Cricetulus griseus: one gene and its partners. Each later gene encodes a partner of the first gene's protein in a complex. Links are inferred from orthologs where the notes say so. Each region holds a gene or a part of one and is shown in the gene's direction. Other genes may lie near its edges.

Region 1 (7,490 bases):
ATAGGCAGCCAGTGTGGCATTGTAGGCATCACTGCAGAGTGTCGAGGTACGAGCATCCTCAGAGCTGGTGCGCAGGCCTTCCAGGAACAGCTGTAGCCAGCGCAGAGCGCGATGCAGGCGCAGCACAGTCCGGCAGCCGGAGTTAGGGTATCGGGAACGGGAGCGGCGGTCTAGGTCCACCAGCTTGTTGCCCACCTCATAGGCCACCATCGACTGCAAGCTAGTGTAGTGTTCATACTGTGGGCTTTTCCTCAGGTGCTCCATTATCTGCAGCTTTGAGACCACATCCTTGGAAATGAATGAGAACACGGCACCCAGGCTGTTCAGAAACCTGTGCAAGGAAGTATACATTTGAGGCCCTACCTAGACTGGCAGTCATGCTGTAGTGGAGGAGATATTACCTCGAATCTGCTAGAGCACTTGTTAGTCTGGAGGCAAGGGCAGGGAGGCTGAAGGAAACTGCCTGCTAGCTGTTCCCATGTTCCTGTGCCATGTGGAATGCTGGTGTCCCATGTGAGCTCTGACTGGCAAAACCACTATCTTCAGCAGCCCCAATAAACGCACCTGACCAGCCCCTTCCAGCTGTTGATATAGTGGTCCAGCAGCACCTCTTCCTCCTCATTGAGACACTGCTTGAAGCTGATCAGGACGACTTTAAGGTTGAAATCTGTCTCTGGGCCATCCATCTTCCACAATGAGCTGAAATAGTTTCACACAGAGCTTGTAGTCATCTCACTCTGGTTTATAGTCTCAAGAAGGTCTGAAAGTGAAAGTGGGATTCTAAAACTCTTTGCTGAGAATCATCCCTTTACCCAAGTGTTTTCCTCAGGAGCTGCAAGCTCTCACACAAGCCAATCTGACCTTGCTATACCCTTGATGAATTCTGTACCCACAGATCGTGACATGGCTGCTCCTGGCCCTTCAGGCTAGTAATTTGGTCAGTTTCTGACCTGAGAACCCATGGCTGCACTGTTTGCATCTGCTACTGCTTCTTGCTTTTCTGCTTCTTCTCTTCCTAGAGCATCTGTTTCACACATTAGGGTAATGTTTCTAAAAGGGAGGCATAGTCCTGGACCCTGGCCATACCTGGAACTCACTGTATCAAGGCAGCATTCGGATGGGAAGCTGTACCAAAACAAAGATCAGGACTCTTAAAAAAACAAGTGATTCTCACACAGGGATGAGTAAAAGGATGGCTAGACAGGCTTTCCCTTCCTTGATCAGGGCTGTATCCCCCAAATTAAATCAGAGGCTGTGGGCTGGCATCTGCTAGACAGACAGATGGACACTCCTATTGTTGAAATGGTATGCATCCCCAAATAACAGGGTAGCTGGGCCAAAGGTCTTACCACACACAAAGGACTGCTATAAATCCTCCCATCAGCTCCATAGAACATTCTGGAAGTGATCTAGGATAGGAAGGGGCCCTAAGGTAAGGTGGGGCTCTGGATACAGTAGGCATTTTTACGTTCATTCCACAAACATGCTAGTTCCCATATTTTTTTTTTTTTTGAGACAGGGTTTCTCTGTGTAATAGTCCTGGCTGTCCTGGAACTCAGTGTGTAGACCAGGCTGGCCTTGAACTCACAGAGATCTACATGTCTCTGTCTCCCAAGTGCTGGGATTAAAGGCATGCATCTTAAGGCATGCACCACTACTGTCTGGCTAATTTTATTTTATTTTTTATTTTTTGGCTTTTCGAGACAGGGTTTCTTTGTGGCTTTGGAGGCTGTCCTGGAACTAGCTCTTGTAGACCAGGCTGGTCTTGAACTCACAGAGATCCACCTGCCTCTGCCTCCCAAGTGCTGGGATTAAAGGCGTTGGCCACCACCGACCGGCTAAATTAGGCATTTTTTTAATGTGTTGTTTTGAGACAAGGTTTCTCTGTGTAATCCTGGCTGTCCTGGACCTGACTCTGTAGACCAGGCTGGCCTTGAACCCAGATTTGCCTGCCTCTGCCTCCTGATTGCTGGGATTAAAGGCATGTGTTATCACACCTGACTAGGCTTTCACTTTCAATCTTCCTGCTTCCTGAGTAGCTAGAACTACAAGCTTGTGCCCCATGGGTCCTTTTGTGCTCACACCATGAATGAATAACTCCAAGCATCCAGCCCCCACCTTCCCTGGTACCATAGAGCCATGACTTTATGTCCAGGATCAAGCCTGTGGGAGGTGGCTGCATCTCATCCATGTCCAGCATGGACACTCAACACCAGTTCTGCAGGTTCCTGTGTCCCTTAGCGCTGGATCCCTTCCCTAACTGCTGTACCATCAAAGTCCCCCCAAAACCATCCTCATCCAGGGTACCTGGATCTGTGTGCAAATTCTTTTTTTTTTTTTTTTTCTTCAGACAGTCCTATGACTCAGTGCTCCAGCTCTGGGAATGTGGTCTGAATGTTTCCCGATCCATAACTGAGGCTGTCAGTTGTGATACGGTCCCATGGGTTGGACTGGACTCCCATCACAAATTCCAGACCCTGACCCTGGAGATGGGCTCACCTTGTGTTCAGGTGTCACGGACAGCCTAAGAAAGATGGCGACGCCCATAGTCTTGCCACACACCCTCTCTTAGGGCCTGTTTGCTGTCCACTGAGCAAATAGTCTCTGAAGCCTCCTACAGTTCTTTCTTTCTTTCTTTCTTTCTTTTTTTTTTTTTTTTTGCCACTTAACAATCCTGCAGCTAGGCCTTCCTGCTCAGAGCCTAACCCAGGAGTCAAGTAGCCACTTATTGCTGTCCGTGGTAAACTGGAAAGAAAAGGAAGGGAGGGCGACTCGTCAGCTCCCGGGAGGTGATGCAGGATACGTCTAAGCCTCCTACAGAAGATCAAGCTAGACAGGGTGGACAGCCGGCAGAAAACTCACAAGCTAGCACACAGCATATACACCCAGGCGTAGCAGTGAGCCAAGGCCGTTCAGGGAGGTCCGCAAATCTCACCTGGGACGGATTCCTGTGGCGAAGTGTCAAAGGTGTGGCAGAGGTCAGTGATGGGGAGAGTTGACCAAAGTTACAATAAGGTTGCTGTGGGAGCCGAATCTTTGCCCGTCCGTCCCGGTTGTCTACAGAGGCGCGACTCCGCGGCCTGGATCTCGTCAGGTAGGCGTCCCTATGCTTCTCCCACGCCCGGAGCCTGTTCCGAGACAGCTCGAAGCCTGCGGTTGGGCAGAAGTCTTGAGTTGCAGCCCAAGGGTCAGCCGCTGCCCCGCCCTTCGCTGCTACTTCATCCCAATTGGCTGCTCATCACCCAATTAGAACTCGACTTATCGGCCCGCGTTTCCGGCGCGAGGACAGGAAGCCGGCGTCTTGGCAGTTGCCCCCTCCGTATTGTGTGGGAGTCGCAGTGGCTGGGCGTGGGGGGTAAGCCGCGCGCGCGAGGTGGAGGCCTTCCTGCGGGCGGTGCACGCGGGCTGTGGAAACGCAGTTCGAGACTGCCTCCCGGACGATGCCTGAAATAAGAGTCACTCCCTTGGGTGAGTCCGAGTGTGAAGCGTCTTCTGCGGCGTCCGGCGAGTCGGGCCGGTCCCTTCATAGCAAGCAGTCTAGCAATACAACCAGCGGTCAGCCCCAGCTGTGTGTCCCAAGGAGCGAAAGGTGTGGTGGAACGTTTCCGAGTTGGTGCTTCCTCACCTCTGCCTGGCACCGGGGTCGAAGAGATTGGGGTTGATTCCTGGCCCTGGGGCTCGGTATGAGTTATGGAGGCCCCGCTTCTGTGCCTAGACTGTAGGCTGCCAAACAGCGAGACGAGAATGAGACCCTGAAGCCCAAGGTGTCTGTGAGGCGCAATGAGTTTTGGGCAGGCGTTGCCTCTGTATTTAGCTTGTTAGCGGTGTTAAATTCAGAACCACAGAACTCGTCCTGGCGACTTTCCTGTCCTGCACGTGGATTGCTGCTTCAAGACTCCCTCTGCTTGGGCGTCTTCCTCACTTCTGTTTTTCTTTCCATCTCCCCGACCTGCTTATCGTGCCCAGGTTGCTTGTTGTTACCCCTCAGTTCAGTCTTTGTGTCTGGTCCATCCCGAATTTTAAAAAAAGTATATTTGTTCGTGGTAGAAAATACAAATCTAGCTGGGCGGTGGTGGTGCACGCCTTTAATCGCAGCACTTGGGAGGCAGAGGCACTGTGAGTTTGAGACCAGCCTGGTCTACAAGAGCTAGTTCCAGGACAGCCTCCAAAGCCACAGAGAAACCCTGTCTCGAAAAGCCAAAAAAAGAAAAGAAAAGAAAAAAGAAAAGTCTAGACTTCTAAAAGTCCTAACAGCATAGTATGGTGTGTTGGAGGAAACAACCATTTGAGATCTGGGGTTCTAGAACCTTGCTGAATGTTCCTTGGGCTTTTCCTCATGCATGTGTTGTCAGGTGTTGGAGCACCATCTCATTCATATGATCCAGATCCTTAGGCCATTTTGGTTAGAACTTAGTCCCAACTCACTGCATCACAGGACCTTAGCAGGAGCAACCTCTCATACTGGCTACCCCCATCCCATCTAGGTACTAATTAGATTACATGATCAAATAAGAGCAAGCATATTCATAGACCCAGCTCCCTGACTCCTACCCTCCCACTAGGAAAAGTTTGTTTTCTGCCACAGTTCTGAAACTTTTTGGTACAGTTGTTTAATCTCCACCTGATGTACTCAGTGTCTAATCACCTCATTCCCCAAGGATGTAAATCTGTATTGTGCAGAGATGTATTGACAAGGTAGTATCTTCTGCTTTCTTCTCAGTTTTGTCTCCTCCCATGTCTAATGTCTCTGCAGTGTGGGCTTCTGTTCTTTCTTGGAATTGTAAGTCTCTTTGGGGACAACATTTACCAGTTCACAAGAACTGGAACTTTATAATTCCAAAAAGCATACCTTTTCACCATTCTTGGTAGTGTGTGATTATGGATGCCTGTGATGTGAGGTCCTCCCCTGCAAGGGTGTAGCCATTTCCCTTCTATAAATGTTTCAAGGGTCTCAAGGCCTAACACAGCTTTAGGGCTAGAGGTCCTATGGGGAAGGACGCGAAGAACTTTCCCTCAGGGAACACACATCTGGAGGTAGTAGGAACAGGCCTGCGGGAGAACCTGAGGCCAACTCATCCCCAGCCTCATTGTGCCTGACGACAAAAGGAAGGCAGACTGGGCCATGGGTGATGTTTGTGGTACTGATAGTGCTTGGTGCTTGAAGTTGGCAGATGGAGACTATAGGATCCAAGATGGGTACAAGGCTGTTTGTTGTTCTCAGACTCCTGTTGTATCTCTCTTCTTATGAACCCAGATTCCAGGGAGATAACAGCTAAATGGGGAAGATAGGTGTGTCAAGTGTGGTCAGTATCTTGGGCTGAATAGCTAGCAGGGTTTGGTAGTCATCAAGACCATGGGGGGAACTCCTATTGAGGCTGAGCTAGGGGCTCAGTGGTATGGGGCCTGTGCTGCACACTGACTAAAGTGGGCCATGTGTGCTGCAGCTAGTTATTGGTCAGAGTCATGATTCTTTATGGCTGGGCTGAAGCCATGTGGATATGATACCACTCAACACCAAACCTCAGGATCCAGGTCTCAGCTTCTTCAAGCAGAAATCCAAGGGAAGAAGCCTCATTGATTTGCAGCCCCATTGAGGGTCAGGAGTAATTGGACTAAGGTCTGGGGAAACAACAGTGATATTCCACAGAGAGGTAGCTGTGGCTTGCTTCTGTTCAGTGTTGGGGACCACAGCCAGCCAGTGCTTAATGCTCTGCTAGGAGTTTGTTGCAACTTTGAGATTTGAAGTAAAGCATAGAGAAGGGAGGGCATGTGATCCTAGCATAGTGCTTTGTCTCCCCATTGTGCATTCCTCTTATCTGCATGTGAAGGTACCTGTTGCCTAGCCCATGTGTCTGTCTACCCAACAGTCTTAGATCCTGTAGAGCCAACGGTAACAAGTAGTTCAGTGGAGGTCAGCCCTTCCAATAGTGAGGGAAAGAAAGTGGAGAAAAAGTGAGGGAGGAGCCATGGCTTTGTCTCTTACCTACCTTTCTTGAGCAGGGGCTGGCCAGGATGTGGGCCGCAGCTGCATCCTGGTCTCCATTTCGGGCAAGAATGTCATGTTGGACTGTGGGATGCACATGGGCTACAATGATGACGTGAGTACTCTGGGCGGGTGGTCCAGAGGGCAGCAAGGGCCACAATCTACTTTCTAGTCATGCTCTGCCTAGCCATGTGAATCCTGGGACCTCAGAGAGGGGACAGATGGGGCAAGTGGGCAGTGGGGGCATTCCTGGACAGCTATACCCATGCTGGGTGGGGACAGGTGGCCCTGTCACATGGTGTTTGAAAAATAGAGACCAGCTGAGATGAACCTCTTGAGGATCCTTGAGACTGGTCATATGGACCCTTTGGGCTCAGCTATTTGCTGCTTGTTCATGAGGTCAGCTAGTAGCTTGACCTTTCCATGAGGTTTTGAATAGCCAATAGCAAACCCACTGATGTAAGAGTTTGCTGGGGTCATTCCTTGGGGTGCACCACTCTTGCTTCTTGAACCTTGGGTAGCCTGCTGTGTTCCCACTTTTGTCTCATCAGAGGCGCTTTCCAGACTTTTCCTACATCACCCAGAGTGGCCGGCTGACTGACTTTCTGGACTGTGTAATCATCAGGTAGGTTTGTCAGGAATTTGATGTCCTTTTTTATACCCTATTGTAGAGGCTATGTTAACCAAGCTACATTGTGACTCATTCTTTTGAGTGGCCATTATCCCCTCAGAGCCAGGAAGATGATTGTACCTGTTGGCTGTGCCCTTTCGTGTCATGACATAAAGCCTAGCAGGTGCCCCAGGAAGTAAGAGACCTAACTAGGGTAGCCAGTGCCAAGATGTGCCCTTCACCTGCTAAGTATGGGTCTCTCCAGCCTAGATGACCCCATGAGACCTTTTCCCAACAGTACCTGGCAACAGTGATTGTACTCTCTCACCAATTCCTTCCCATTTTACTAGCTAAGTACATCTGGTGTATTTCTGCTTCTACATCCTCTTCCAGCCTCTAACTCTGGTTCCTTAAGCCTCCTTTTCTCTTGTTCCTTTGCTGTCTCAAGAGTGCTAAGCCCTGTTGCTCACTGGCCATTACTGATGTCCTAGTTAATGGTCTAGCTGCCAGTTGCTACCACCTCAGCTCGGTAGAGCTGAGCAAGGGAGACATCTTTCTTCCCACTTTGGCTCCCATTTTCATGTTCTGTCCAGATAGGCTGCCAACTGTTCCCTCTCAACACAAATCCTGCTGTCACCTCCTAGTTGGCCACATTCTGACCGTAGCACTTCCCTCTCAACACCTATCCTGCTGCCATTAGCCAGAGTGGTCCTTTGGGCCTAAAACAGTCCATCTTGGTAAGATGTGTTCTCAGTAACTCAGGCTCTGGTGTTTTGGTCCCTTCTAGACATGGATCACTCACTGCCTGCCTGCTTTGGGTTGACTGGCCCCACTCTTTTTGGGAAGGATATTCCTAGGCCTTGCCCTGAGCAGTCTCAATTCTCTCTTGCCTCCATC
Region 2 (7,390 bases), on another chromosome or scaffold:
CACCTGCTTGGAGAAACTGCTGGATTGGTTTAAAACAGTGATGGAGACAGGTAAGGTCATGGTGTATAGAACTGTCCATCCATCCGGTGTCTTTGTTTCACCTCCTTGAGGCTCTCTGGATGAAGAGTCAAGATGGGGTGCCAGGGTGGTGAACGAAAGTCCCATGGGAGTCCAACCACATTTCAGGCTTCCTGCTGTTCGGTTCACACTAGGTGTTTGTGGAGAGCACGACCACGTTGTTTAGCCATCTTTCTTGTATTTTGCTTATTTTGAAGAACTTAGAACCCTGGGTGGATGTGGTGGGACATGCCATCCAGAAGTCAAGGCAAGTGGACCTCAATTTCAAGGTCAGCCTGTGCTACATCGTTCAAGGCCAGCCGGAGTTACATTTTTGCTGTGTGTGTGGGTGGATCTTAATTTATTTAATCACTTGCATTGTTTGTGTTCCCAATGTTTTGTTATTATAAATAGTGCTGTACTAGCTTTCCTTGAGTGTGAGTAGCCTGGCAACTGGAAGTTTTTCCTCCCATGGTTGATCATTGTCTTCTAAAAGATTCTGTGATCCTTGTCTTGTCATAAATACCTACCTTCATTGCTTCCTTGGTTTGCTATTCTTTTTTTGCATTTGAGACATGATCTAATGTAGCCTAGGCTGTCTTCAAACTCACTCTGTAGCCAAGGATGACCTGGAACCTCTGGTTCTCCTGTCTGTGGCTGAGTGCTGGGATCATAGGTGTGAACCATCACTCACTGTTTTTATTGGATGCTGAGGATGGAGCCAGGGCTTCCTGCATGGCAGACGATCAATTTACCAATGAAGTTATATCCCCAGCATTTATGTTTTTTGTGTGTGTTTTGTCTTCCCTGTTTTCTTTTGTTTGTTTTATGTTTTTGAGATAGGGTTTCTCTGTGTAACAGTCTTGGCTGTCCTAGAACTCATTCTGTAGACCCGGCTAGCCTGGAACTCAGAGATCCACCTGCCTCTGCCTCCCAAGTGTTGGGATTAAAGGTGCTGATGTGTGATATGTGTGTGTTTACATATGTATAACATACACATACTGAGGCAGGGTCTCCCTTTCTCTTTCACTTGAACCCAGAGCTTGTCCGTTTGGGTGTTCTAACAGGACAGCTGAGGGTCACCTATCTATGTCTCTGGAGTGCTGCCTGTCCAGCATTTTTATTGGTTCTGGGAATCTGAACTCTAGCCCTGCACAGAAAATTTTACCTACTGAACCATTCTCCAGACTTTGAAGCCTACTTTTTAGTCAAGTTTTTGCAAGTAATTTTGCAGGATTGTGTGTGTGTGTGTGTGTGTGTGTGTGTGTGTGTGTGTGTGTGTGTGTGTGTGTGTGTGTGTGTGTTTTGCATGCATACCCAGGTATCTACATACGAAGGTCAGAGCAGGATATTAGACATCTTCTACCATCACTCTCCACCAATTGCCATGAGATAAAGTCTGTTACTAAACCTGAAGTTACAGGAAACTAGGCTGGCTAGCCAGGCAGTTCTTGGGATCTGCTTGTCTCTACCCCTTCCCCAACTCTAGAATTAGAGGCATGCAGACACATGCCTGGCTTTTATGTGAGTGCTGGGAATTCAAACTCAGGTCCTCATGCAGTGCCTGCCTTATCCAAGGAACCATCTCCCCAGCCCCTTTCACAAGTTTGGTTTGTTGTTGTTTCTTTGGAGGCAGGGTTCAGCTGTGTAGTCCAGGCCACCATTCAGACCAAGTTGGCTTTGAACTGAGAGGTCTTCCTGCCTCTGCTTCCCAAGTGCCATGTTTAAAGGTGTGTGCTGCCACATCTGACCTGCAAGTATTTCTAAACATCTTTATGGAGATATGATTTACATGTCACAGAGTCCACCTATTTAAAGTTTACCTGTTCAGCTGGGCATGGTGACTCACATCTGTAATCCCAACATTTGGGATGCTGAGGCAGGAGTGTTGCAAGTTTGAGGCCAGTCTGGGCTCCATAGTGAATTCAGGGCCAGCTTGGGCTACAGAAGGACACTCTGTCTCGAAATTGTATATAAAATAAAATAAATGATTGGAAATGAAGTGTGCCAGTTTACTGGGTTTTAGTCAACTTAGGAGGTGTCTAGTCTCATTTTGTAACTTTTTGTTCCCCCCATAGCTAGGTGTCCTTTGGTAGACAGTTCTTCCTCCCACCTCACCCCCAATTTCCCTCAATTTTTAATTTTTATTTTTAGGGGGAGTTCGAGACAGAGTTTCTCTGTGTAGCTTTGGAGCCTGACCTGGCATTCGCTCTGTAGTCCAGGCTGGACTTGAACTCACAGAGATCCACCTGCCTCTGCCTCCTGAGTGCTGGGATTAAAGGTGTGTACCACCAATGCCTGGCCCCTCAATTTTTAAAATGTTCCACATGATGGAGCTGTGCCTGTTGGTGCAGGCCTGTTAGCCCACTTACTTGGGGCTGAGACAGGAGGATTATGGTCTGGGCTGCACAGTGAGTTTGAGGCAACTTAGGAAGATGCTGTTGAAAACGAGTGGCAGGGCTGGTAGCCAAGTGTGGCAGAGCACTTGGGAAGCAAAGGCAGGAGGGTCAGGAGCTCATGGTCAGCATTAGCTGCCTGGCAAGTTCAAGGCTAACCTGGGCTAGACTTTGTAAAAACAAGCAAACAAACTACCCCAAAACAACAACAACAACAAAAGGCCCTGGGAAGTAGCTCAGTGGGCCCACCACACTTGAGGCCCTTGGGTTCAGTCCCTAAAACTGGCCCTCTCCCACCAAAAGGGAAAAAAAAGGTCTGGTGACATACCTATAGTGTCAGCATTTGGAAGATGGAGGTGGGAAGATCAGGAGTGCAAGGCCATCCTCAGCTATATAACATATTCAAAGCTAACTTAGGTTACAAGAGACCCCGCCTTAAAAAAAAAGAAAATGTTCCACATGTTGGAGTGAACAGTTTTCACTTTTGTTCATTAGATTGGCCTTCACCATTCACATCTGCTGTGTTTGACAATCTGTCCCTCAATTCTTTCTTGGAGGTGTGTAAAAGTGTTGCCCTGAGATTGTAAATTCAATTTTTTTATGTAGTGTTGTCTTTAATGGCTCCTTATTTATTTCATTTCTTTTCTCTCTCTTTCTTTCAGTCACTCTTCTTTCTTTTTTCCGTTTTTTTCCCTTTAATGATAATAGAAGTAGACAAGTATTTTATTGCTGAGCCAAGCCACCAGCCTCTTACTGGGGAGGTTCTAGGCAGATGCTCTACCACTGAGCCAAACCCCCAGCTCCTTACTGGGGAATTCTAGGCAGGTGCTTTATGTGGAATTACAGCCCCAGCTCTTTACTTGTTGTCTTTATGGTTCTTGTCTGTATCTTTTATTTACTGCTGAGTCATTGGCTTTTGGGGGAGGTCTCCTTAATAGGTTAAGAGCTATTTGTTGCAAAAACCCCTCCTCCTGGGACTACTCAATCCTGAGGGTTAGGGATATGTGAGCTACTTCTAGAGAGGTTCTCCCTGGTCATTGCTGTCTTGGGATGTCCTGTGTCTACAGAGTCCAGCCTCCATCTGCTGCAGGACCACCCCTGCCTAATGGAGCTACTGTCCCATGTGCTGAAAACACAGGATGTGAGCCCTAGGGTCCTCTCCTTTGTTCTACGCCTTGTTGGCATCTTTGCAGCCCAGGAGGACTGTTTCCAGTACCTTCAGGTGAGCCTTTTTCTCCCATGTGTTGTCCCCTTAGGGGTGGGCATCCTTTCCCTCTGGATTAGGAGCCATCTCAGGACGTGGGTGTCAGTGGCTGGCCCTGCTCCTGTGGCTGGCCTGTGTATCAGGATTTCAATCCCAACATCACCCCATATTGCTCCTACTTGGAAACACTTGGCTAGGGATGATGCTGGCAGGCTTCCCATTATCACCGTCTGTGTGATCCTTGCCACGTTCTGAGCTTCTCTTTCTGATGGGCATGTGAGGGTTGGAGGACACTCCGGGTGCTTTGTCTGCAGCATAGTCATGGATTGGTTGCATGGGGGAAAGAACAGAGTGGTCCACATGTAGTGACTCCACCTGCCAGCTCCAAGGGATCTGATTCCCTCTTCTGGCTTCCACAGGCACCTGATTTCCTGTACATACCTACACTCAGACGTATACACATAATTTAAAAAATAATAAAAATCAGGCCGGGCATAGTGGCGTATGCCTTTAATCCTATCATTTGGGAGGCAGAGGCAGAGGCAGATGGATCTCTGAGTTTGAGGCCAGCCTGGTCTACAAAGTAAGTTGCAGGACAGCTAGAGCTGTTACACGGAGAAACCCTGTATTGAAAAACAGACAAATAAATAATAAAAATCTTACAAAGAAAGATGAAGGAGGAAAGAAAACCTGTTCATTCTTCCTGTGACTCTCATGAGGGCAGAGTGATGGTGCTTGGGCCTGGGAACAGCTGTGTGGCACCAATTGGTGCCTCCACCAATCCTGTTGGTTTTTTTGTTTTGTTGTTTGAGGGTTTTTTTTTTTTTTTTCCCACCAAGACTTTATGTATTTTGTTTTTGCCTTTTGTGACAGTGTCTCTCTATGTAGCCCTGGCTGTCCTAAAACTTGCTATGCAGCCCAGCCTCTGCCTCCCAAGTGCTGGGATTAAAGATGTGTGCCGCCACACCACTGTGTTTATTTTTCTTTTATACCTACAGTATGTCTGTGGACCACATGCATGCAGTTCCTGTGGAGGTCAGAAGAAGGCATCAGATCTCCTGGAACTGGGCTTTAAATAGTGGCAGGCTACCATGTGGGTGCTGGGAGTTAGGCCTGGATTCACCAGAGCAGCCAGTGCTCTTAAACCCTGAGCCATCTTTCCAGCTCTCTGCTTTCATTTTTGACATAAGGTCTTACCATGTGTCCCTGGCTGAGCTAGAATTCAAAGAGACCAACCTGCTTCTGCCTCTGGGGTTAAAGGTGTGTACCACCAAGCCTGGCTCCACTAGTCCTGACAAACCAAAACAAAACAAAAAGCCTTCTCCCTCTGCATTCCTGATGCTTTCTTTGCTTCTTAGCAGGGGGAGTTGTTGCTGGGGCTCTTTGGAGAGACAGGTGCCCTTAGCTGGACAGCCTGGAACATGCCCAGCGTACGCAGTGGCTGGATCCAGGGCTTGTGCTCCCTGGCACACCACCCCAGCGCCCTGCACTTCCTGGCTGACAGTGGTGAGTATAGCCCACACCCTTCCCCAGTTCATATAGGCCACTCTTTCTTCGAGTGCCTGTGCTGTGGGATCTCTAAAGGAGCCCCTGAACCTCTGAATCGAGTCTTCTTAGCTGGGGAAGGGTGGTGGTGGTCTAGAGTTGTCAGGATAAGCACAGATGATTATAGGGATATTGTCATCTTTGACTCCTAGGATCTGGGTGGCTCCCGCAGTAGTGTATTGTCAAGCAGTCATGAGTTTGTCCTTGAAACAAATTAGAACTGGTTAAAAGCTATGTTGACTTTAAAGCCAGCATGCTGGAGGCTCATGTTGACTTTGCTTGTGAGCAGAGGGGAGTCTGGTGCTCTCCCTGAGGCCTGGAAGGGTGTGACAGAGACAAGGTACTCTCTGCATGCTTCCTCACTCAGGCTGACCTTTCGCTGCCCACTCCAGGTGCTGTGGACACGATCTTCGCCTTGCAGGGAGACCCCAGCCTGTTTGTGGCCTCTGCAGCCAGCCAGCTCCTAGTACACATCCTGGCTTTAGCCATGCAAGGTGGGGCTTCAGGGTCCCCCATCTCAGAAGCTGCTGCCTGGCCTATCTGTGCCCAGAAGATTGTGAACCACGTGGAAGAGTCCTTGCATTCCAAAGCCACCCCACAGGTCACACAGGCCTTGAATGTACTGACCACCACCTTTGGGCGCTGCCATAGCCCCTGGACAGGGGTCCTCTGGGGGCGACTGAGTCCCCCTGTTGCCTGCCTGTTTGAGAGAGACCCCATTCCAGCTGTACATTCGCTCATGGACCTCCTGCTCAGCGTAGCCAGGTCAGGTGGCTGCAGGGGCTGAGGGTGAGTGGTACTTGCCTGTGAAGTCTCAGAGCAGCTGATGCTTCATGAGGAGGACCCTAGTACTGTCACCTCAAGGGATGGTATCTTCAGGACTGAGCATGTTTGCAACTGTCTAGTTAGGCACTGATGGAGGAGTGGTTTTTCTTTCTGTAGGTCCCATGTGTTGAATTTTGCAGCCTGTGGTCTGTGGGAGATGCTGGCCCAGACTCTGAGCCGCCTGAGTCCCACACAAGCTGGGCCTCTAGCCTTGGGGACCCTGAAACTTCAGCATTGGTATGATTGGGGGTGCTGAGAGTGTTACACTAATGGTTGGGAAACTTTGGAAACTGGGAAGCCAGATGTGAACATAGGCCAGGTGGGAGAGCAGGCAGGTAGGATGGGCAGATATGAAAGCAATAGTTGCCTCCTTCTGTCCCTCTCTCCTCCTCCCCTTTCCTTCTCTTTTCCTTTCTCAGTACTTGGTGTGGAACTCAGTACTTCATACATGCTAGTCAAGTACTCTACCACTGAGCCATGCCCCCAGCCCCTCACTGGGGGATTCTAGGCAGGTATTCTACCACCTAGCTACAACCCCAGTTCCTCACTGGGAGATTCTAGGCAGATGCTCTACCTCTGAGCCATACTTCAGCCCTCAGCTTGGATTACAGACATGCTCCACCATACTGAGCAAGAGACATAACTTTTGAAACAAAAGTTTTGTGGTGCCCCCAAAGCCAAAGCTAACTTCTGAGCAATGTGTAGCTGTTCTCTGACCTCTACTATGGATGAGCCAGGCTCCTGGAGCCCCATAGTGTCTACTCCAGGGGGTGTGCAGAGATATGGGTTGCTGCGTGTGGGATGCAGGGAGGAAGGGTGTTGAGTGTCTGAGCAGGCCCAGAACACCAGGATGGTCCATCATAGAATGTGTAAAAGGACATTTCAGGTCTTTGAACACAACATGAGCACACTGGGGTACTACCTTAGGAGCCTGAAAATTGCCTGTCACTCCGATCAGGGAGTGTGACCAGCCCTTCTGGGGACCCTGAGACCTAGTGATTGCCTTGGTTGGCCTTCTGTCCCATCCTGATCCTTAAGTAGTAGCTTGCAGAGGAATTGTATACTTGCTTGTACTGAGTCACCATAAATTAACTGAGGATGTTCATATTGCTGCCAGAGTATAACCCTTACCGTGTACTGTGTCCTCAGTCCCCAGGAACTGAGAACCCAGGCCTTTGGAGTCCTCCTCCAGCCTCTGGCCTGTATCCTGAAAGCTACCACTCAGGCCCCTGGACCTCCAGGTATGCAGGGAGGGTGGAACCTCCATCCTTAGGCAAAGAAGAGTGAGCTGCCCTAATCCTACCCAGACCCCTCAACTAAGTACAGGTGGACAGCGTCCTTGATGAGCCCTGGCCCTGAACTT
Region 3 (7,490 bases), on another chromosome or scaffold:
CCGAGGAGCCTTCTCTACTTCCTTCCCTGGCCCCAGGCTATCTACCCTTCTTCCAGTTGTGCTGTCCTCCAGCAGGTCGGGAAAAGCTGAGGCTTTGCCTCCACCCAGATGTCTGTGGCTTCTTGCTGAGGAGGAACATTTCTTGTCTTTCCTCTGTGAGAGCAGAAAGGTGGAATAGACCAGAACTTGCGTGTGGTAGGTAATAGGGTCCTCACTCCCTAGCTGTCACATACCTTGGCACCTCTTTTTTAGGTCATTTCATGGGCAAGAAGAGTCTGGAGCCCCCAGGCCTGTCGCTTGTGGGGACAGCACTTCCCAGCATCCAGAGGGACCAGAGACTGCCGCTGAGTCATGATCTGTTCCGGATCCTCCTGCTAAAGAAAGCCTTAGGCATGAACCTCAGTGGCCCAGACTCCCCAATTCAGGTGAGCCTCTACCCCAGTACCAACATGGAAGAATTGTCACCCAGCTTGGGTTCAGGGTGGGACTGCCTAGCCAGGATGTAATATGCATGGATTCTAGAAAGTCAGGGTCTCAGGGCTCAAAGGGGAAATATCCCAAAGACCAGAAAATGACGCAGCAAACTGCTTGGGAAAGAAGTTCCTCTTTGCCCATCCCCAGTCTGAAGTCACAGACTAGGATATCCTTGCCTTTGAACAGACTGTCCTCCTCCATGCCACACAGCCTTGTCCATCCCAGTTGTCATCTGCCTTTGCTGTTCCAGTCTGCCTGTGGTCTGACCTGTGACCTCTGAGCCCTAGCGGTGCAAAGGGAACTCAGAACCAGCCTACTTCCCATCTCCCTGTCCATCCCCCTGTCCAGTTACCAATGGCAGGCTTTATCATGTCAGTGCTCTCGACAGTCTAGGCTCTGGGGGCTGTCCTGTGCATTTAGGATGCTAAACACATCCCTGGTCTCCACCTACCTGACGCCACTAACACATTCTCTCTCCTCACCAAGTTGTGATAACCAAAATTCCCTCCAGGTCACAATGGTGCACTTGCCTGCAGTACCTGATACATCAGGAGGATGGTTTAAGACCAGGAGTTTGTGAGAAACAAAAACAAAAGAGTCTTTAGACACCAAGTTGATGTCCCCCAGGTGGAAGTGGCTGTAAAGCACTAACTAACCTGTGGTGCTCAAGCCCTTAGTGTCCTGCCTGGCTGGGTGGCAGCTCTTCCATTCTTTGCTTCTGGTACTGTCCCCACTGCACAGCACTCTCCCTTTACTTACTGCTGTGTGCAGAAGGCAGTGTGATGGGGTAGCATGTATGCTGGGGCCACATAGCTAGTTAGTAGTCAGGTGACCTTAGGAATGTCACTGAACTACTCACGCTCTTCATTGAATGGAAATAACAGACCCATTTATGTCACATGCACAGTGTGGTACACAGAAAGGTCTTGGTAAGCAGGAGCTCTTACTGCCTGTCTGCAAGCCCCTGGCAGTGCCTGCTGCTGACTCCCTTTGTAACACCCCACATCTGCCTAGCAGTGTGTGTATATGGAAGGAGAGACATTCCGTAGAGAAAGTCTACCTACAGTCCCAGCAAACATCCCAGAAATCTCAGATTCAAGAGCAAGAAGCTTGGACTGGCAGAGTCCAAAGAGACATAACATCACCTCTAGGATTATTTTGAAGGCCTGAAATACCAAGACCAACCAGAGACTCTCAGGGGAAGCAATACTGCCATGGCCAGTGGCAGGGAGCATCAGAGAGGTCTGGGGCAGAGTTTGGGGGAGGTAGAGGAATGTCGCTAACACTTGTCTAGTGCCTTGGACTTGATTTCTGTGGTGCCCTTTAATTGTCATGACCACCCTGAAATCAGTGCCATAATCTGGGAAAACCATTACCCCTGACTCGTCTCAGGCCTTTCAGGGAGAAAGGTACTCACTCAGAGACCCAGCAGAGAGCATGCCCCCCCCCCCGCCACTTCTGTGCATACAGCATATCCCTATGATGTGTGGGTCAAGCCTTCTCCTTTTGTCTTCAGTACAGGAGGCTGCTGGAGCCAATACTGAAGAAGTGATGCCAATAATGGGACCAACACAACAACATGGCTTAGAATGTGTCCATCCAGGCAAGCTGCTGAATGCAACCCCAGGAGTGGCCCCATCTGGATGTAAATTCTAAGCTCCAGTGTGTTACTCCTTTGCTGAGATTTCTGGTTGGGTCACCTGGAATCTTGATGATGCAGACACAAAGTCTTTCCTGCTGTAGTTCTTGCTTCCCTGGTGAAGTTGTGAATAAAAACCCTGCTCTTTACACAGAATGTCTGGGCATCTTCTTCCACACACTTTTGAAGAAAGGGGAAAGGACTCTGAAGGGTGGTGTGTTTGTTGAGATGGGGTGGTCTTGGAAAAGCTCCATCACCCTTCACCATGGTGCCAACCAGGCAATGAATGATTGTCAACTTTTGGCAATCAGGTACTCTGTTCACGGGCCCATTGTCATTTCTACTACCTAAAATTTCTTTGCCTGAGATGGGGAGCTGCCTACACCATGCTACACTCACCCCATCTTTCATCCCAAGCTTTAGTGTGCTGGAATCCAGCCCTGCTGTTTTCTGGTTCTTCTCTGGATGTAGGAACCTCTCTGTAGGCTGCCAAAGTTATCGAATAAAAATGAGAGTGTCAGATACTTTATTGATTGGTACAGTGTCTTGTGTAACGTAGACTGACCTCGAACTCCCTATGTAGCACATGAGCACTGGAATTACAGGTGTGCGCCTCCATGCCAGGAGTGTTTATGCGGTACTGGAAAGCGAGCTTCAAGCATGCTAGGCAAGCACTCTAGCTACATTCCTAGCCCAACAAAATTTCTTTCATTAAAAAAAAAAAAAACCTAAAGTATCCTTCACGGGCACATTCACGCGAACTTTTAAATTAACTGTTCACCTTAAGTTCCAATTAAGTCTGTATTGTACCTGGCTTTGGGACACTTGACAGCTCTTTGGCTGCACAAACTTGATCCTAAAACGGGGCATGTTTGATGTCTCCGGCCCTGCTTGGAGCTGACATCCAAGAATGTCTGTTTCTGCGTCGTTTTTTACCCGGAGTCTGCCCACAGAACCCGGGAAACATGAGGGCTTCGCGCAGCTCCGAGCGCTGCCTGCACCGCTAGGCGGGAGACCACGCCCTCTCGCGAGAGTGCGTGCCCGCCCCGGAAGTCGAACTGACGGAAGTGGAGCGAAGGAAGCGGCAGTTGCTATGGAGCTCGCGGAGGACTGGCTAGTGGAGTCTTTGCGCTTGTAAATCGGGCCGTGGGCGGGTCTGGTGGGCAGTAGGCGAGGGCGCGGGCAGCCCGGACCCGGTGTAGGCTCGCGGGCGGTGCTGATCCCCGGCCTCTCGTTCTGGGACACTCGGCCCTTCTGTAAGCAAGTAGTGGGACCAGGTGCTCACCCGGGAAGACTGGTTATGTTGCGCCGGCCTTTAAGTTAACTGAACACAGGTTTTCCAATTGATTGTTCACATCAACTTGGTGAAATAAACTTTGCGGAACCCCGGGAGTCCCACAGATTAAAACCATGGGTTGGTGCCTTGTCTTAACACACAGGAAGTAAAATGCGGAAAAAAGACCCAGTCCCAGAACCTGGGTCCACTAATTCTGCAGTGATCTCAGAGTTTTTGGTCAGCTGTACAGTGTCGTGCACCGTGTGATTTTTTTTTTTTTTAAATCTCTCTACTGCAGGTACCAAGATTTCCATGCATTTGACCTCTCAGGAGCCACTCGAGTGCTTGAATGGATTGGTGAAAAAGGTAATATACCCAGCCTGTCTCTAAAGGAGATGGCTTTCTGCCCTTGGGCAGAATTTTAAGGCCTCAGCCTTTTGAGAGACCCATCCAACTTCCATGGGAGCCAACTAGTGAACTGAGAGGAAATTTATCCTTCGGGAGAATTTATAAATCCAGCTGTAATCCACGATATTTCTGACAATTATCATAGTTACTGTTATGTTTCAGGAGTGTTTGTTGCTGGTTATGAGAGTTCGAAGAAAAATGAGATTCTTCATCTGATACTACCTCTCAGACTCTCTGTGAAGGAAAACCAGGTAACTTAAACAGAGAGGGAATATAAGGGAACTTGTACGTAGGCCTTTCTGGAGTGCCTGTTACCCACCAGGTACTGTCCCTGATAAGCTCTGGGTCTGTCTGTCCTTAAAACCTAGCAGAAGGAAGCTCCTATGCATAGGGATGAATGCCAAGGAAAGTCATGTGCTTCCTGAGAAAGCTGCTACAGATGACTGTATCAAAAAATAGATGTAGGGAGCTGGAGAGATGGTTCAGGGGCTGAGAGCACCTGCTGCTCTTCCAGAGGACCTGTGTTTGGCTCTCAGCACCCACGTTGCAGCTCACAACCTTCTATAACTCTTGTCCCAGGGCACCCGGCACCTTCTTCTGGCCTCCAAGGTACCAGGTGTGCATGTGGTGTTCAGACATGCATGCACGCAAAACACCATACCCGTAAAGAATTTTTAAACATAGATGTAGGGGCTTGAGAAGCAGCCCAATGGTATAGAACTCACATAACATGAGCAAGGTCTCTTTGTTCAATCTTCACAGCATCACACACACACAAAATAGATTAGGGAGCCATTAGGGAAACCATATGGATGGGTAAGATCACCTAGGATGAAGGTGTGAGATCTGAGAAGGCCTCTGCCTCCTGAGTGCTGGGATTAAAGGCGTGCGCCACCAACGCCTGTCTTAGGGAATAAATTTAAATGATGCAAAGAAAGAATAGTCTTTGAAGTTAGAGGAGAATCTGTGAGTGGTTAACTATGCAAATATAGTTATTGGCTGCTACTACCACTAGCCAGCCAGGGCTACACAGTGAGAACTTATCTCAAAAAAGAAGAAAGAAGAGGAGGAGGAGGAAAAGAAAAAAGTTGAAGAAGAAGAGAAGAAAAAGAATTAAATGTGCCTGATAGAGTGAATACTTGTTAAGTGGTTGTCTTGTCTCTGTTGCTAGAGGAACCCACCTGGCTCCTAGTGGGAGGGTGAGTGGTTGGCAGTGGCAATCCTTGCTTTCTTGGCTGAAGCTGTTTTCTTCTGTTATTCCCAGGAAGGCTCAGCATGTTTTTGCCCCTTCTGAGAAGGATGAGACAGGCTAGAAGGCTTGGAGATGGGCAGGAAGATAAAGAAACTGGACATATAGACATTTACAGACATCTGCCGGCCAAGGTCCGGCTGAGTAACTCTCATGGCCTCCTTCCCTGGCACTCATCTGAGGTGTTTGAAAAGCAGGTGCTCAGGGCTGGAGAGATGGCTCAGTGGTTAACCACTGGTGGCCCTTCTAAAGGACCCAGGTTCAATTCTCAGTACCCACATGGCAGTTCAAAACTGTCTGTAACTCCAGTTCCAGGGGGATCTGCACCCTCACACAGATACACATACAGGCAAAACCCCAATGTACATAAATAAACCTCAAAATAAAAATAAATTTTAAGGAAAAAAAAAAAGAAAAGCAGGTGCTGAGCTCAGCGGTGGTGGCGCACACCTTTAATCCCAGTGCGGCAGAGGCAGGCGGATCTCTGTGTTTGAGGACAGTTTGGTCTACAGAGTGATTTCCAGGATAGCCAAGGCTATTCAGAGAAACCCTATCTTGTTAAAAAAAAAAAAAAGAAGAAGAAGAAGAAGAAAAGAAAAATTCAGTGCTGTCTGATTGCCCCCACCCTTTTGTGTTTTAGGGTTTATTTCCAGAGAGAGATTTCAAAGTGCGCCATGGAGGATTTTCAGACAGGTCTGTCTTTGACCTAAAACACGTGCCAGATACCAGGTATGGCTAGTCTGTGTCCCATACCTTCTGTTCTGTTGGGATGACAGGAAGTGCTCGAAGTGTTATGTCTTCTTACCACCATGCCCACTTCTCAGTCTCCAGACGTAGGTGGGGTGCACAAGGGGCTGGGGCACACATAGATTTAGTGTATGAAGAAACCATTAGCTTAGCAGCCATTTTGAGTAGTGGAGCCACCAAGTCTCTGGAGTTGCTCCAGGGACCAAATACAGAGTGGAAAATTCTCTGGAGCTTCTCGGAGAGCTGTCTCAGTCAGGGTTATGTGTTCAGGCTCCCCACCTGTGTCCTTTCTAGGTGGCCATCATGACCTGTGGAAGCCTGGGCTCGGTCTGTGGCTCTCTCTGAATTGTGATCCTGTCCCTAAAGCAGGGTGAGCCTGCTCCTATGTTGAATGAGGGTAGCTGGTCCCAGGGATCCTGAGTGGGCTGGAGAGGAAAGGCTGCCAGGGTGAGGGTGAGCTTCCCTCTGTCTGGACTGATTTTCTGTCCCTCTGGAACAGGTTGCTTGTGACCACTGGCCTTCCAGGGTGTTACTTACAGGTGTGGCAAATTGGAGAGGACAATGGTGAGTGAAGTTCACTTGGTGGAAGTTGAGGTTTTAGGAAAGCCACTCATGTTCCTGTCCCTTATGCTGAGTCACTGAAGAAGCCTGTAAGGGAGGGGACAGGGGACAGCACAGCTTCTGTCTGCTTTTGCACAGCAAAGATGAGTTAGCATCCATAGGGTGGCAGATAGGCATAAATGCTGCAGCTTTGAACTTCCTCCAGGAATTGAGTTTACCAACCCAGCCACTGGCAAAGCACCTAGAGAGCCAGGGCCTCTCAGCTGGGCAGGTTCAGAGGAAGGGCTGAGCTAGGGCCACTCAGAAGCACCCAGCTGGAGGAGGAGGAGGAGGAGGAGGCAGCAGCATCGAAGAGGTTCAGGGGAAGGAAAAGAGCAAGTGAGAGAGAGGCTCACTGGCAGTCTACCCGGAGATCACACTACTTCTCAAGGGCACAGAGAAGGAGCAGGAAGTCCCCTGGGGAGACTAGCAATGGGAATGCAGGTCCCTGTCAGCAGTCACCAGAGCATGTATCCCTCTAGCCTGATCCAACCCTCGCCAGGGAGAGACACCTCACAGCCATCCCACACTGTGGCAAAGCTTCCTACAGTCAGCACAGAGCTTTACTTCTCCCAGGCCTCACTGCTGCCCAGGGGATGCTGTTGAGCTCATCCCTGACCCTGTGCCTGTCCTTGCCACTTGTCTGTGTGGTCCTTCCCAGTTCCTTGTGTTGCTTCCCTATATATGTGGTAGGTTTTTGATGATGCTGCTGTTTAATGATTTTATTGAGGTATGTTTTACCTGCCATATGATTCATCTATGTCAAGTGTATAGGTCAATGATTTTTTAAAGAAAATTTACCAACTTCTACAGCCATCACTGTAAATCAGTTTTAGAACATTTTTATCACTCCCAATAAGATCTGTTATGCCATTTACTGTTAATCTCACTCCTACACCCTGCCCCAGAAATCATTAATATATTTTTCTCTGTAGTAGATTTGCCTATTCTGAAAAAAGTCTTATCAGTGGAACGTTTCATGTATTCTCTTATATCTGGCCTCTGTCCCTTAGCATATGCTTTTTAAGACTGTCCATGTTATGGCATGCATCAGTAATTTGTTCCTTTTCATTGCTGATACTGTTCCTTTGGATGGG

What was found.
Region 2: the proteins of Ints11 (region 1) and Brat1 are in contact, whole or in part, in a cryo-EM structure (PDB 8UIB), measured with the Homo sapiens proteins. The link is inferred for Cricetulus griseus from reciprocal best matches to the Homo sapiens genes INTS11 and BRAT1. Residues at the interface, in NP_060341.2 of Homo sapiens: Leu9, Val15, Gly16, Lys27, Met35, His36, Met37, Gly38, Phe39, Arg43, Asp47, Tyr50, Thr58, Asp59, Asp62, His70, Leu71, Asp72, His73, Asp87, Gly88, Gln97, Pro101, Ile102, Glu105, Arg108, Lys109, Val112, Asp113, Lys114; in NP_689956.2 of Homo sapiens: Asp25, Thr27, Cys28, Glu30, Lys31, Asp34, Pro117, Ser156, Ser157, Leu158, Phe159, Ser162, Lys358, Ser359, Cys366, Arg367, Arg424, Arg427, Thr465, Lys468, Lys469, Trp514, Glu515, Asp518, Ser519, Glu522, Tyr560, Ser564, Ser604, Glu605.
Region 3: the proteins of Ints11 (region 1) and Wdr73 are in contact, whole or in part, in a cryo-EM structure (PDB 8R22), measured with the Homo sapiens proteins. The link is inferred for Cricetulus griseus from reciprocal best matches to the Homo sapiens genes INTS11 and WDR73. Residues at the interface, in NP_060341.2 of Homo sapiens: Tyr206, Thr208, Thr209, Ile210, Arg211, Asp212, Ser213, Arg215, Cys216, Arg217, Glu218, Arg219, Asp220, Leu222, Lys223, Lys224, His226, Phe255, Arg258, Met259, Leu364, Val384, Glu385, Tyr386, Ser388, Lys418, Lys419, Glu421, Phe422, Gln425; in NP_116245.2 of Homo sapiens: Asp5, Asp6, Leu8, Val9, Ser11, Leu12, Tyr15, Gln16, Phe18, Tyr19, Ala20, Phe21, Asp22, Leu23, Glu50, Leu52, Arg59, Leu68, Phe69, Pro70, Glu71, Arg72, Asp73, Phe74, Lys75, Val76, Gly79, Phe81, Asp116, Ser117.

The regions. Positions count from the first base shown.
Region 1 is NC_048595.1:410,842-418,331, reverse strand, and holds the start of Ints11 (integrator complex subunit 11), read left to right. Parts: upstream 1-3,299; 5' UTR 3,300-3,440; coding exon 3,441-3,468; intron 3,469-6,000; coding exon 6,001-6,098; intron 6,099-6,534; coding exon 6,535-6,608; intron 6,609-7,490. Other genes in the region: Cptp (ceramide-1-phosphate transfer protein), read right to left, coding at 1-331, 565-686.
Region 2 is NC_048597.1:77,313,055-77,320,444, forward strand, and holds part of Brat1 (BRCA1-associated ATM activator 1), read left to right. Parts: coding exon 1-50; intron 51-3,520; coding exon 3,521-3,675; intron 3,676-4,752; exon of another isoform or gene 4,753-4,917; intron 4,918-5,015; coding exon 5,016-5,163; intron 5,164-5,594; coding exon 5,595-5,967; intron 5,968-6,144; coding exon 6,145-6,264; intron 6,265-7,176; coding exon 7,177-7,268; intron 7,269-7,390. UniProt on the Homo sapiens protein: Component of a multiprotein complex required for the assembly of the RNA endonuclease module of the integrator complex.
Region 3 is NC_048596.1:116,665,565-116,673,054, forward strand, and holds the start of Wdr73 (WD repeat-containing protein 73), read left to right. Parts: upstream 1-3,165; 5' UTR 3,166-3,206; coding exon 3,207-3,247; intron 3,248-3,687; coding exon 3,688-3,755; intron 3,756-3,959; coding exon 3,960-4,048; intron 4,049-5,686; coding exon 5,687-5,775; intron 5,776-6,292; coding exon 6,293-6,357; intron 6,358-7,490. Other genes in the region: Nmb (neuromedin-B), read left to right, coding at 253-425, 1,996-2,130. UniProt on the Homo sapiens protein: Component of a multiprotein complex required for the assembly of the RNA endonuclease module of the integrator complex. Associates with INTS9 and INTS11 in the cytoplasm, stabilizing the INTS9-INTS11 heterodimer and blocking the active site of INTS11.